Linked DNA regions of Caenorhabditis elegans. The main gene of each other region encodes a partner of the protein of the gene in region 2 in a complex. Each region holds a gene or a part of one and is shown on either strand. Other genes may lie near its edges.

Region 1 (4,156 bases), 2.1 Mb from region 2:
AATTACGAGGGGCATTTTACTAAATTTGAAGCAATTGTTATGCAGAGAGGATTGAAATGTTTGCTTTCAATCCAGGTACTTTTCCATGTAAAACAATGGTCATTCTGTTTCCAAAAATGTAACAGAGACAACTGTTTGCACAGATGGACAGTATCTCACAATATAAAAGCAACTGCTGCAGAACTATAACCATCATTCTATCATGTTCCGTCAATTCATTATTTCATTTGCCATTTTCTCGGTTGCATTTGCTTGCGAAGCTTCTGAATCTGAAGGACGTAAGTAAAGACTGCCATTACTTTTAGAGTTTGAGTTGTTTCATTTCAGCATGTGACGGTGGCATTCTTGTGTGCCAGACACAGGTCTGTGATGTGGCAGCTGGTCAATGTTGTCCTGTAACCAGTAAGTCAACAAGGTTCTTTCAACCGTGACCTATGATTTTTAGCCGTTCCCCTTGTGACTTCAACCACTGCTGCTGTGGTAACAGATTCTGATGGATCTACAGTAACCACAACTGCTTCAGCAGTTACAGTAACCTCAACCTCTACAACTTCGTGTGCTGATCGCCTCAATCCATCTACCGGGGTCTCTGATTGTCCAGCACTTGCCTATCTTTGCAACGACACCACCTACTACACAGTCATGACTCAACAATGTCCAAGAACATGCGGTCGTTGTAACTCAACTACCACAAGCTCCACTAGCTGTGCCGATCTTGTAAACCCATCCACCGGAGTTTCTGATTGTACTGCACGAGCTTCTTTGTGCAATGATTCAGTCTACTATGCCGTCATGACTCAACAATGCCCAAGAACTTGTGGAAGATGTAACTCAAGCTCTACCGTAACTTCATCTTCCTCCACAACAGCTTCAAGTAAGATTAATAATTGTTCATAACGTTCCATGTCTGAACTTTTCAGCCACCTGTGTTGACCAAGTCAACGCAGCTACAGGAGTCTCCGATTGTCCAAACCGTCGTGCATTCTGTACCAATTCTGCCTACGCAACCCTTATGAGAGCTCAATGCCCACTCACTTGCGGATTCTGCACTTCTGGATAATCTTCATTTTTTCTTGAATCATTTTATTTATTTCCTAATATATTTGGTTGTTGTAAATTTGAACTTCTTCATATAAAAAACTTTGGATCTTGGAGTTTTATTGCAGAAATTAACAGATACATGTACCTTCATTAAAAAATTAGAGACGTTGTCGATTGGACAACACTCGAACAATGGATCCCTGCCCAAATTTTGATACCAATTGAGAATGCCACAATAGTAGAGAAAGACACGTGGCAGAATCAGAGCATAGTTGCATTGCTTTGTAAATATACTTCATCAGAATGTCTCCATTTTCATTTGACAGCTTGTGAACTGATTCTTCAATATCGGTCTGTCGAAATGCATGAATAACCTCGGCCACAAGGAGAACAGCACGGTTCTTGAGTTCCTAAAAGGGAAAGAGGTTTGCAAAATGACATTAAAAAATAAAACCTGTTCAGAATGACCAAATGGTGGGTTTAAGAGAACGGATTGAAGAGCATATTCAAGTCGATTTGACTCCAGAAATTGCCGAACCTCTTGCACATTTGGCCCACAATCTGCAGATTCTGAAAAAATTTTCAAAAATTATTTATTGAAATATTATTATTTATTCAAAAATTAATTATTGAATTCAGATTGACTAACCTTCCTGAATATCTTCAAAATGAGCTGGATGAAAAATATCAACATTGTACTTTTTATAGTCAGTGTTGTACATTATCTACAATAGAAAAACATTTCTGAATGAAAACCTAAAAAATGATATAAGAAAGCTTTTTTGAAGTCTCTTTGAAATTTTGAATAAGAGCACCAATTGTCCACTCTTTTGTGAAATTCGAAAACGTTTGTTCTGCTGCATACCAAATTTCATAGATTCTTGTTTCTGAACAATTTTCTTTTAATCCCCAAATAATTGCCATAAGTTTTTTGTTTTGCCTAGTACTTTTCACTAGGCAATCGGCCGATATGCACTGGGAACAATTGCACCTGCTCTAGCTTTTAAAGCAAAGACTTCAATAGATTGTTGTTTGGATCTAAATTGCAACTGGACATTTCAAAAATTTCTCTTCATTTGAGAATAAAAATATACAAATTGTACCCAATCAATTAATCCATTACTCGGATCGTACACAATGGAACAAAAAAAACAACTGAAAGTAAGAAGAAAGTCTAGGGATTATGCCATGGTAAAGGAAAAGAGAAGGGGAAAGCGATAGATTAAAAAGTGAAAATCTATTTTCTTTTTCAAAAAATCTATTTTCTTTTTCAAAAAACCAACAAAAACAAGGACTGGCTGGAGGGGGTGTAAAATTGAATAATAGCAAATTGTACACGGATGAGGATTTTGTGGAGGAGCGGTGGGGAATCACAGAAATTATTATGGCGGAATATGAAGAGACACACACTTTCATCTATCTACAGTAATCCAAGGAGGTAGAAGCTTCTACGATTTCGTATTTTTCATTCTGGCAATCACTTCCTCTGTGACCATTAACTGGTCATCAGGATGTTCTCCGTACTCGGGGAGTTCTTCGAGAATCTGAAAATATTTGAATTATAATTCAACTACTTGGTAACATTTAAAATTTATGAGAAGAAAAATAAATATAGTGTCAAGAATTTGAAAATATATAAATTGATTTTCCGCACCTCTTATCTATATTAGTTACCGAATATTCTCTAATAGTATTAAATCCCACTACTTTATTTTTGCTTTAAAAAATTTTAAAACAATATGAAACACTTTCCAATATTTTTTCCAATTTATTCAAAAATGTTACGGTTTTTATGTCCCCATATCAGTTCTGTGAATTTATTGATCTCAACATCCCCCGGTTATAACTACACTTTTACCTCCATTCTCGTTTTTCTCCCCGTTTCACCTGTTCCCTATTATCTTTTCTTTCTTTTTTTATGTAACTTTTACTCGAGTTGAACTCTTTTAGGGTTCGTCTCGTTTTATTTGTTTATTTCTCTTCTTTTAGTTAAATAAACTCAAATTCAAAAGAAAAATAAATATAGTGTCAAGAATTTGAAAATATATAAATTGATTTTCCGCACCTCTTATCTATATTAGTTACCGAATATTCTCTAATAGTATTAAATCCCACTACTTTATTTTTGCTTTAAAAAATTTTAAAACAATATGAAACACTTTCCAATATTTTTCCGTTAACAATTTTTGTATAGGACAAAAGGCAACTGAGTTTAATAGTAAGGTGCTACATTAATAATATTTAAATAAAAAATTCTAAGAAAACCAAGCTTACCTTGACTAAATTATCGATTCCTATCAAATACCCATCTTCATTATTCCCAGGTATCCACGTCGTCCGATGGTTTAGTGTTCGTCCATTAGGAACCGGTGAACTCTTTGCAAAGTCAATCATCCAGCATCCCACTTTTTCCGTATCAAAAACAATCAGAATACTGCTTCCGACGACTTCATGTGAATTGAAGAATGATGAATGTTCGATGGCTTTTCGCATTGATTTCAGTCGTTCAATTAATTGTTGTCTTACACGGCTTCTTTGAGTTCCAAAGAAGTCCATAAATGTAGTTGTGACATCTTCAACTGTTCGTACTTTTTTGAAGTTTTTCTCCAATGCGCCTTCGAGCCTCTGGAAATAAATGCGATGTTGAAGAGTTTAGGGTTTGAAGAAAACTTGTTATGTTAACATTTAGAATTCTAAATATACCCATGAATTGGATGGAAAAACATATGTTTTATAAAGATTAAAGCTTTGAGCACTGCGGAAGTCAGGTACACAGCTGGAGCTCTAATTTGAGCCAAGTAAGGACCAAAAACTTCAACAATAGAGTAGCCGGTCTCGACACGATCACATATTTAAATATGAACGAGTGTGCGCCTTTAAAAAAACTGTAGTCTTCAAACCTCTCTATTTTGCAATTTTTTAAAGTGAACCGTGGAAACTGCTGTACTTTTTAAAGGCGCATACATTTTAATTTTTATATATACGGCCGGTTCGAGACCCATTCACATACCTTGGCTGCCTCAATTCGAAATCCGAGCTGTGCAGTGCTGCTCTCTCGTTCCCTAAACTGCATGTATCGTAATTTTGTGATTGCTCCACACTTTCTCTCCTCTTC
Region 2 (5,864 bases):
GCCGAGAAGGATAACACTGACGCGCATCAGTTGACCTATGATGAGCATAATCCATTCGTCGTGTGCTCTCGTCAATTTGTGCCTCTTTACCGTGGACGTCCACTCTGTAAATGCCCGTATTGTGGAGCATCGTACTCTGAAGGGCTCGAGGGAGAAGTGTGCAACGTGTGCCAGGTTGCAGAAGTTGGAAAGAATGTTCTTGGGCTCCGAATCTCAACTCTGAAGAGCTAAAAGTTGTGAAATATGATAATTTTTTCGTTTTTTGTGTGATATTAATTATTGTAATTTATTTGCCTTGTTCTTCCACAATTCCCATTGCTTTTGGTCCCTTCATATTATTTTCCCGTTGGGCGGCGGTTCATGTTTTCTATTTAAATTATGTGTTTTTAAAAATTATTTAAACCCCACAGAAAGATTATGATTGCATGCTGGTCTATTTTATTTGAATAAATCATGATTTTTTTACTTTTTTTCATTTATCTTTGGGGTAAGAAAATGTTCTCTAAATCAGTAATTTACATGGAGAAATTTGCTCGAAAAAATTCAAAAAAAATACAGTAAGAAAATTGTCGTAAAGTCTAGGGTTTTGGTATTGCGGACTACGACAAAATGCACACAAACCATTTTGGCACCGGAAAAAGGCAAAAGCCAGGATTTTATCGCGTTTTGGCTCATTTTTCTTGCAAATTTCCATGGAATTCAGTTAACATATACCTAATTATTCAGTTATTTCGAATTAATCAATAATTTTCAGTGAATTTCGCAATTTCTAAGTGGTCCAATGATGTCTGTCCACATATTTCCTTGAAAACTGATTGTTTTATCGGAATTTATTGATTTAAAATAATATATATAATAAAATCTGAATTTTAGAATCATTTTTGACGTGGAAAAGACCCGAAAAATCCAAAAATCACGAATAAACTGAACAATTAAGGTATTAATTTTTGATCCCCCACCCCCAGTTTCTCAGTTTCTCAGCAAAGGATTAAAACAATTGTTCTTCTTCTTTTCCCCCTACAAGAATTTCCTGTGAATTTCAATCGTAAAAATATCGATTTTCTGTTTATTCTTTGGATGAGTCACCGCACTCGCCGATTGTTTAACTAGTGCAGTTCGGCAGTTTTACGTTATTTTTTCACGATTTTTTGGATTCTGATCCTCTAGGTGACTTGAAAATACCGAATTTCATATCGTAATATGACAGAAAAATTTATGGCGGTAAAAAAATGCGGAAAAATTTTCTAATTTTAACGGAAAACTCCAAAAAGCCGTTGGAAAATGATTTTTATTTGATATTGGCATATTTAAATAATTTTTATCCTGTTTTTTAGTGGATTTGGATATTTTAACCCGATAGTTATGTATAACGGCTTAAAAATTGCCAAAATCAGCGAAAAAACGCGAGAAAAATCACTTAAATATGGAAAATAGAACAATAATCAAATAAACCCGATTATCCAAGCCAAAACTGAGTTTTTTTTTTCGCATTTTTGAACTTCAAAATTTCGAAAAAATGGGCTATTTTTAACGAAAATCCCCAATTTTGCAATTTTTTCGTGTCACAGCCGTCGGAAATTGATTTTTATTTGATTTTTGACACATTTGAGTGATTTTATCCTTTTTTTTTCGTGGATTTAGGTACTTTTAGCCGATAGTTACGTATTGCTAAAATACTGGCTTAATAAGTAGCTAAATCGACGAAAAAATATGTTTTAAAAAACCAAAAATGGCAAAATTTTACGATTTTTGCTAAATCTTTTTTTTTTTTGAAATTTTAAATCGTCATAAAATTATTTAGCTAAATTTTTGTTAAACATTTCAGCGAAAAACTCCATTTTTGCCAATTTTTTGTGTCACAGCGGTTGAAAATTGCGTTAATTTAGGTATATTTGAAGCCAAAAAAGGAACAAAATTAATTTATTTGCAAAATTATCAATTTCCGGCTTAAAAACGCTCCAAGATTGGAGATTTCAGCGGAAATTAGCCCATTTTTTCGAATTTCTAAACCGCTAGACTGAAATTCCGTCTTTTTCTCCCATTTAAAACAAAAAAAATCCCAAATTTTTTGCAGCAAGCATGTCGGCCCATCAACTACCGGCATGTGTGATCGACAATGGAACGGGTTATACGAAGCTCGGATATGCTGGGAACACGGAACCTCAGTTTATTATTCCATCTGGTTAGATTTATTGATTTTCAGCCTATTTTTCATAAAATCCAGTGAATTTTCCAGCAATTGCCGTGAAGGACAAGGTGGCGAGCTCGAATTCGCAGGCGATGCGCTGGAATAACCGAGTCGGAGCCGGGATAGACGATCTTGATTTCTTTATTGGAGATGAAGCTTTGTCGCCGGCCGCTACGAATTATACTGTCAAAGTTCGTAGTTAATAGACCATATTTATGCTCCTGATGTCAAATATCAATGTGAAATTTTTTTTTTTAATTCCCAGATTTTATATAATTTTTTAAAATCCAAAAATCCTAATTTTAAATTTAAACGACAAAATTTTGCATGATAACCGTGCCGCAGGTGTGGATTTACGAGATTAATATTTTTAATTCATTTTTATTTAATTTTCACACCGATTTTCCCGTTTTTTCGTTGTTATACATTGAAATTCTTGGGATTTTCATAAATTTATTCATAAATTTACTTTTTATTAATGAAAACAAATTAAATTACAAGAAATATCGAACTTTTGCTGAAAAAATCGAATATTTCACGTATTTTTGTTGTTTTCATTAATAAAAAGTCATAAATTAATGGAAATCATGATAATTTTAATGTAAAACAAGGAAAAATCGGGAAAATCGGTGTGAAAATTAAATAAAAATGAATGAAAAATATTAGTCTCGTAAATCCACACATGCGGCACGGTTATCATGCAAAATTTGTCGTTTCTGAATTTAACATTTTGGACTTTTGGATTAAAAAAAATATAATTTTTTATAAAATCGGGAATTTTATTTTTTGAATTTTTCACATTGATATTAGGTATCAGGAGCATATGGAAAAAATGTTTAAAATTAAAATTAAATTTTTTAGTATCCAATTCGGCATGGAATCGTCGAAGACTGGGATCTTATGGAACGATACTGGGAGCAGTGCATTTTCAAATACTTGAGAGCCGAGCCAGAGGATCATTTCTTCCTTTTGGTACGGGAGAGAAGCAGAAAATTCGGGAAAAAATGCTCTGGAACAATATTTTGGCCACTTTTAAAAGAAAAGGGGGTCGAAAATCCGTTTTTTTAATAGAAAATATCCTGTAAAATGGATGTAAATCGGTGAAAAGCTATATATTACAGAAAAAACACGTGAAAAGTGATAAATTTCGATGAAAAAAGCTTAAAAATCACGAAATTTTGCAATTTTTGACTCTAAAATTACGGTATCCGGTCTTGACAGGACAATTTTTTTGGAAATAAAGCATGTGATACCAATTTAAAAAATACGTAAAAATTTTGAAAAAAACGGGAGAAAAATCAAGGAATTTCCCCCGAAAACTCCGGTATTTTTAAGCTTTATTAATTAAAATTAATTAAATGAAAAATCTACATTTTTTCAAAAAAATAGCAAAAAAAATTTTTTTTCGTATTAAAATCCTAATTTTATAGGAAAAGCTGTTTTTTTGAAGATATGGCTTTAATTTTCTATTTAAAAAATCGTTTTTTTTTTCTGGAAATTTACAAAATTTTGTTTCTAATTTTTTTTAAAGTAAGGGTCCCGCCACGATCTACCTGAGCTTCAACTTTCAGGCTTAAAGTTGGTGTAGTCGAATTTTTTTTTTGCTTTATTAGAATCAAAATTGTCTAAAAACACCGAATTTCATAATGAAACTTCTTGAAAAAAAACAGTTATGACGGTTCAAAAAATCGGCTAAAATTAGTTAAAATTTGAAATTTGGCCTTTTGAAATTACCGTCAAATTTTAGATATATAAGTTTATTATCGTGCGTTTTCAACTCGATTTAGGTATTTTAAAGTCGGTGGACTTGGAGATTTGGTAATAAAAATTTAAAAATCTCCAAGTCCACCGGCTTTAAAATACCTAAATCGAGTTGAAAACGCACAATAATCAACTTATATATCTAAAATTTGACGGTAATTTCAAAAGGCCAAATTTCAAATTTTAACTGTTTTAGGCCATTTTTTTGGAGCCGCCATAACTTTTTTTTTGAGAAGTTTTCAATTCATTATGAAATTCGGTGTTTTCAGACAATTTTTGAGTCTAATAAAGCAATTTTTTTTTTAAAAATCGACTACACCACCTTTAAATAGCGAATATTAGGCAGTTTTCCACGAAAAAATTTGAAAATTTCCAGACGGAACCACCACTCAACACTCCGGAAAACCGAGAATATACTGCTGAAATTATGTTCGAGTCGTTCAACGTGCCAGGCTTGTACATAGCCGTTCAGGCCGTCCTAGCGTTGACTGCCAGCTGGAATTCCAGAGAAGCCAACGAGCGAAGCTTGACTGGATTGGTAGGAAATTTTTTCGCTTTTGAGAAAAAAAAATTTTTATTATTTTATTTGTCACTTATTAAATAGCCAAAAATGCAAATTAATACCAGCAAAAACATGAAAAATATAATGAAAAACGACAATTTACACATTCCCGACAATGATGGATACTTGTTCCCGTCTACTTCGGCTTCTCCTGCAACTGCAAAAAAATCGAATTGCTCCTCACCATCAAGCGCTCCGAATCCCAAAATATCCTCATCGAAACTCGAAACCTCGCGGAGCAACACAGGCAGCTCTTGCAGCCAGAAACTTCCAGTTTTCCGTGGATCTTGCTCCAAATGCGTCAGAAATAGATGCCAAATTTGGCGGAATCTCTCCTTTTCGGCTTGTCGGCGGTTCGCATTTTCTAGCTGCTCATGATCTTCGGCTTCAGCGTGGAAAGCGGTTCTGAGTGCTTCTTCGTCGATTTTCGGGATGTACGCAGAAATTGCCATGTCGAGTAGAGAGTGTGGGAGACTGAGAGGGACAGGGAGAGATGACGTGGATTCTGGTGTACCGACGACGATCGATAATGTTTTCGAGGTACCTGTGTACCATCTGCCGTCTCTGCTAGCAATTGCATAACACGCAAGAAAAACGCCAAAAATAATGTATAACGTATTTATTATATGAATATGGTAGATTTGGTATATATGATGTATATGATATATGGGAGATTTGGTATATGTGTATATATGGTATATATAATATATATGATATATCTGGTGTATGGTATAAATGGTATATGGTATATATATATGATATATATAATATATGGTAGATTTGATATATATGATATCTACGGTCGATAATGATCGATAATGTTGCCTGTGTGCCATCTGTCGTCTCTGCTAGCAATTGCGTAACCCGCAAGAAAAACGCCAAAAATAATGTATAACGTATTTATAATAGGAATATTTGCTATATGGTATATATGATGTATATGATATATATGGTATAAATGGTATATGGTATATATGATATATGGTATACATGGTCTATGGTAGATACGGTATATATGATATAAATTGTATATATGATATATATATGGGATATGGTATACATGTTATATACAGTGCATTTTTTTCCACTTCTACGACTTCAAAGGGAAGCGCTTTCATGCGGTATGGTCTTGACGCGTCTTTAGTCATCATTTTTAGCAGTTTCTGTGTAAATTTCGTATAGATCACAAAATATTTATATCTTATTTTGTATTTCTGTAGCTTTTTTACTCTGATCTACAAATTAATTTTGATCTACGTGTGATCTATACGAATTTTACACAGAATCTGCTAAAAATGATGACTAAAACCGCGTCGAGATCAGGGGTGTGCGGCGAATTTGCCGAGCACGGCA

Evidence for each region. The genes of interacting proteins can lie anywhere in the genome.
Region 1: arx-1 (region 2) and C46H11.3 share a complex: the UniProt entries of both Caenorhabditis elegans proteins name them as parts of the arp2/3 complex.

Annotation. Positions count from the first base shown.
Region 1 is NC_003279.8:5,039,099-5,043,254, reverse strand, and holds C46H11.3 (putative actin-related protein 2/3 complex subunit 5), read right to left. Parts: upstream 1,886-4,156; 5' UTR 1,764-1,885; coding exon 1,691-1,763; intron 1,612-1,690; coding exon 1,496-1,611; intron 1,452-1,495; coding exon 1,200-1,451; 3' UTR 1,163-1,199; downstream 1-1,162. Other genes in the region: C46H11.7 (ShKT domain-containing protein), read left to right, coding at 203-278, 328-402, 446-874, 921-1,060; lfe-2 (Inositol-trisphosphate 3-kinase homolog), read right to left, coding at 2,490-2,585, 3,316-3,666, 4,052-4,156. UniProt on the Caenorhabditis elegans protein: Functions as a component of the Arp2/3 complex which is involved in regulation of actin polymerization and together with an activating nucleation-promoting factor (NPF) mediates the formation of branched actin networks.
Region 2 is NC_003279.8:2,889,929-2,895,792, reverse strand, and holds the start of arx-1 (Actin-related protein 3), read left to right. Parts: upstream 1-2,074; 5' UTR 2,075-2,079; coding exon 2,080-2,182; intron 2,183-2,236; coding exon 2,237-2,379; intron 2,380-3,049; coding exon 3,050-3,160; intron 3,161-4,325; coding exon 4,326-4,487; intron 4,488-4,531; coding exon of another isoform or gene 4,532-5,347; intron 5,348-5,864. Other genes in the region: copa-1 (Coatomer subunit alpha), read left to right, coding at 1-231; Y71F9AL.6 (Protein PBN1), read right to left, coding at 4,532-5,347. UniProt on the Caenorhabditis elegans protein: Functions as ATP-binding component of the Arp2/3 complex which is involved in regulation of actin polymerization and together with an activating nucleation-promoting factor (NPF) mediates the formation of branched actin networks.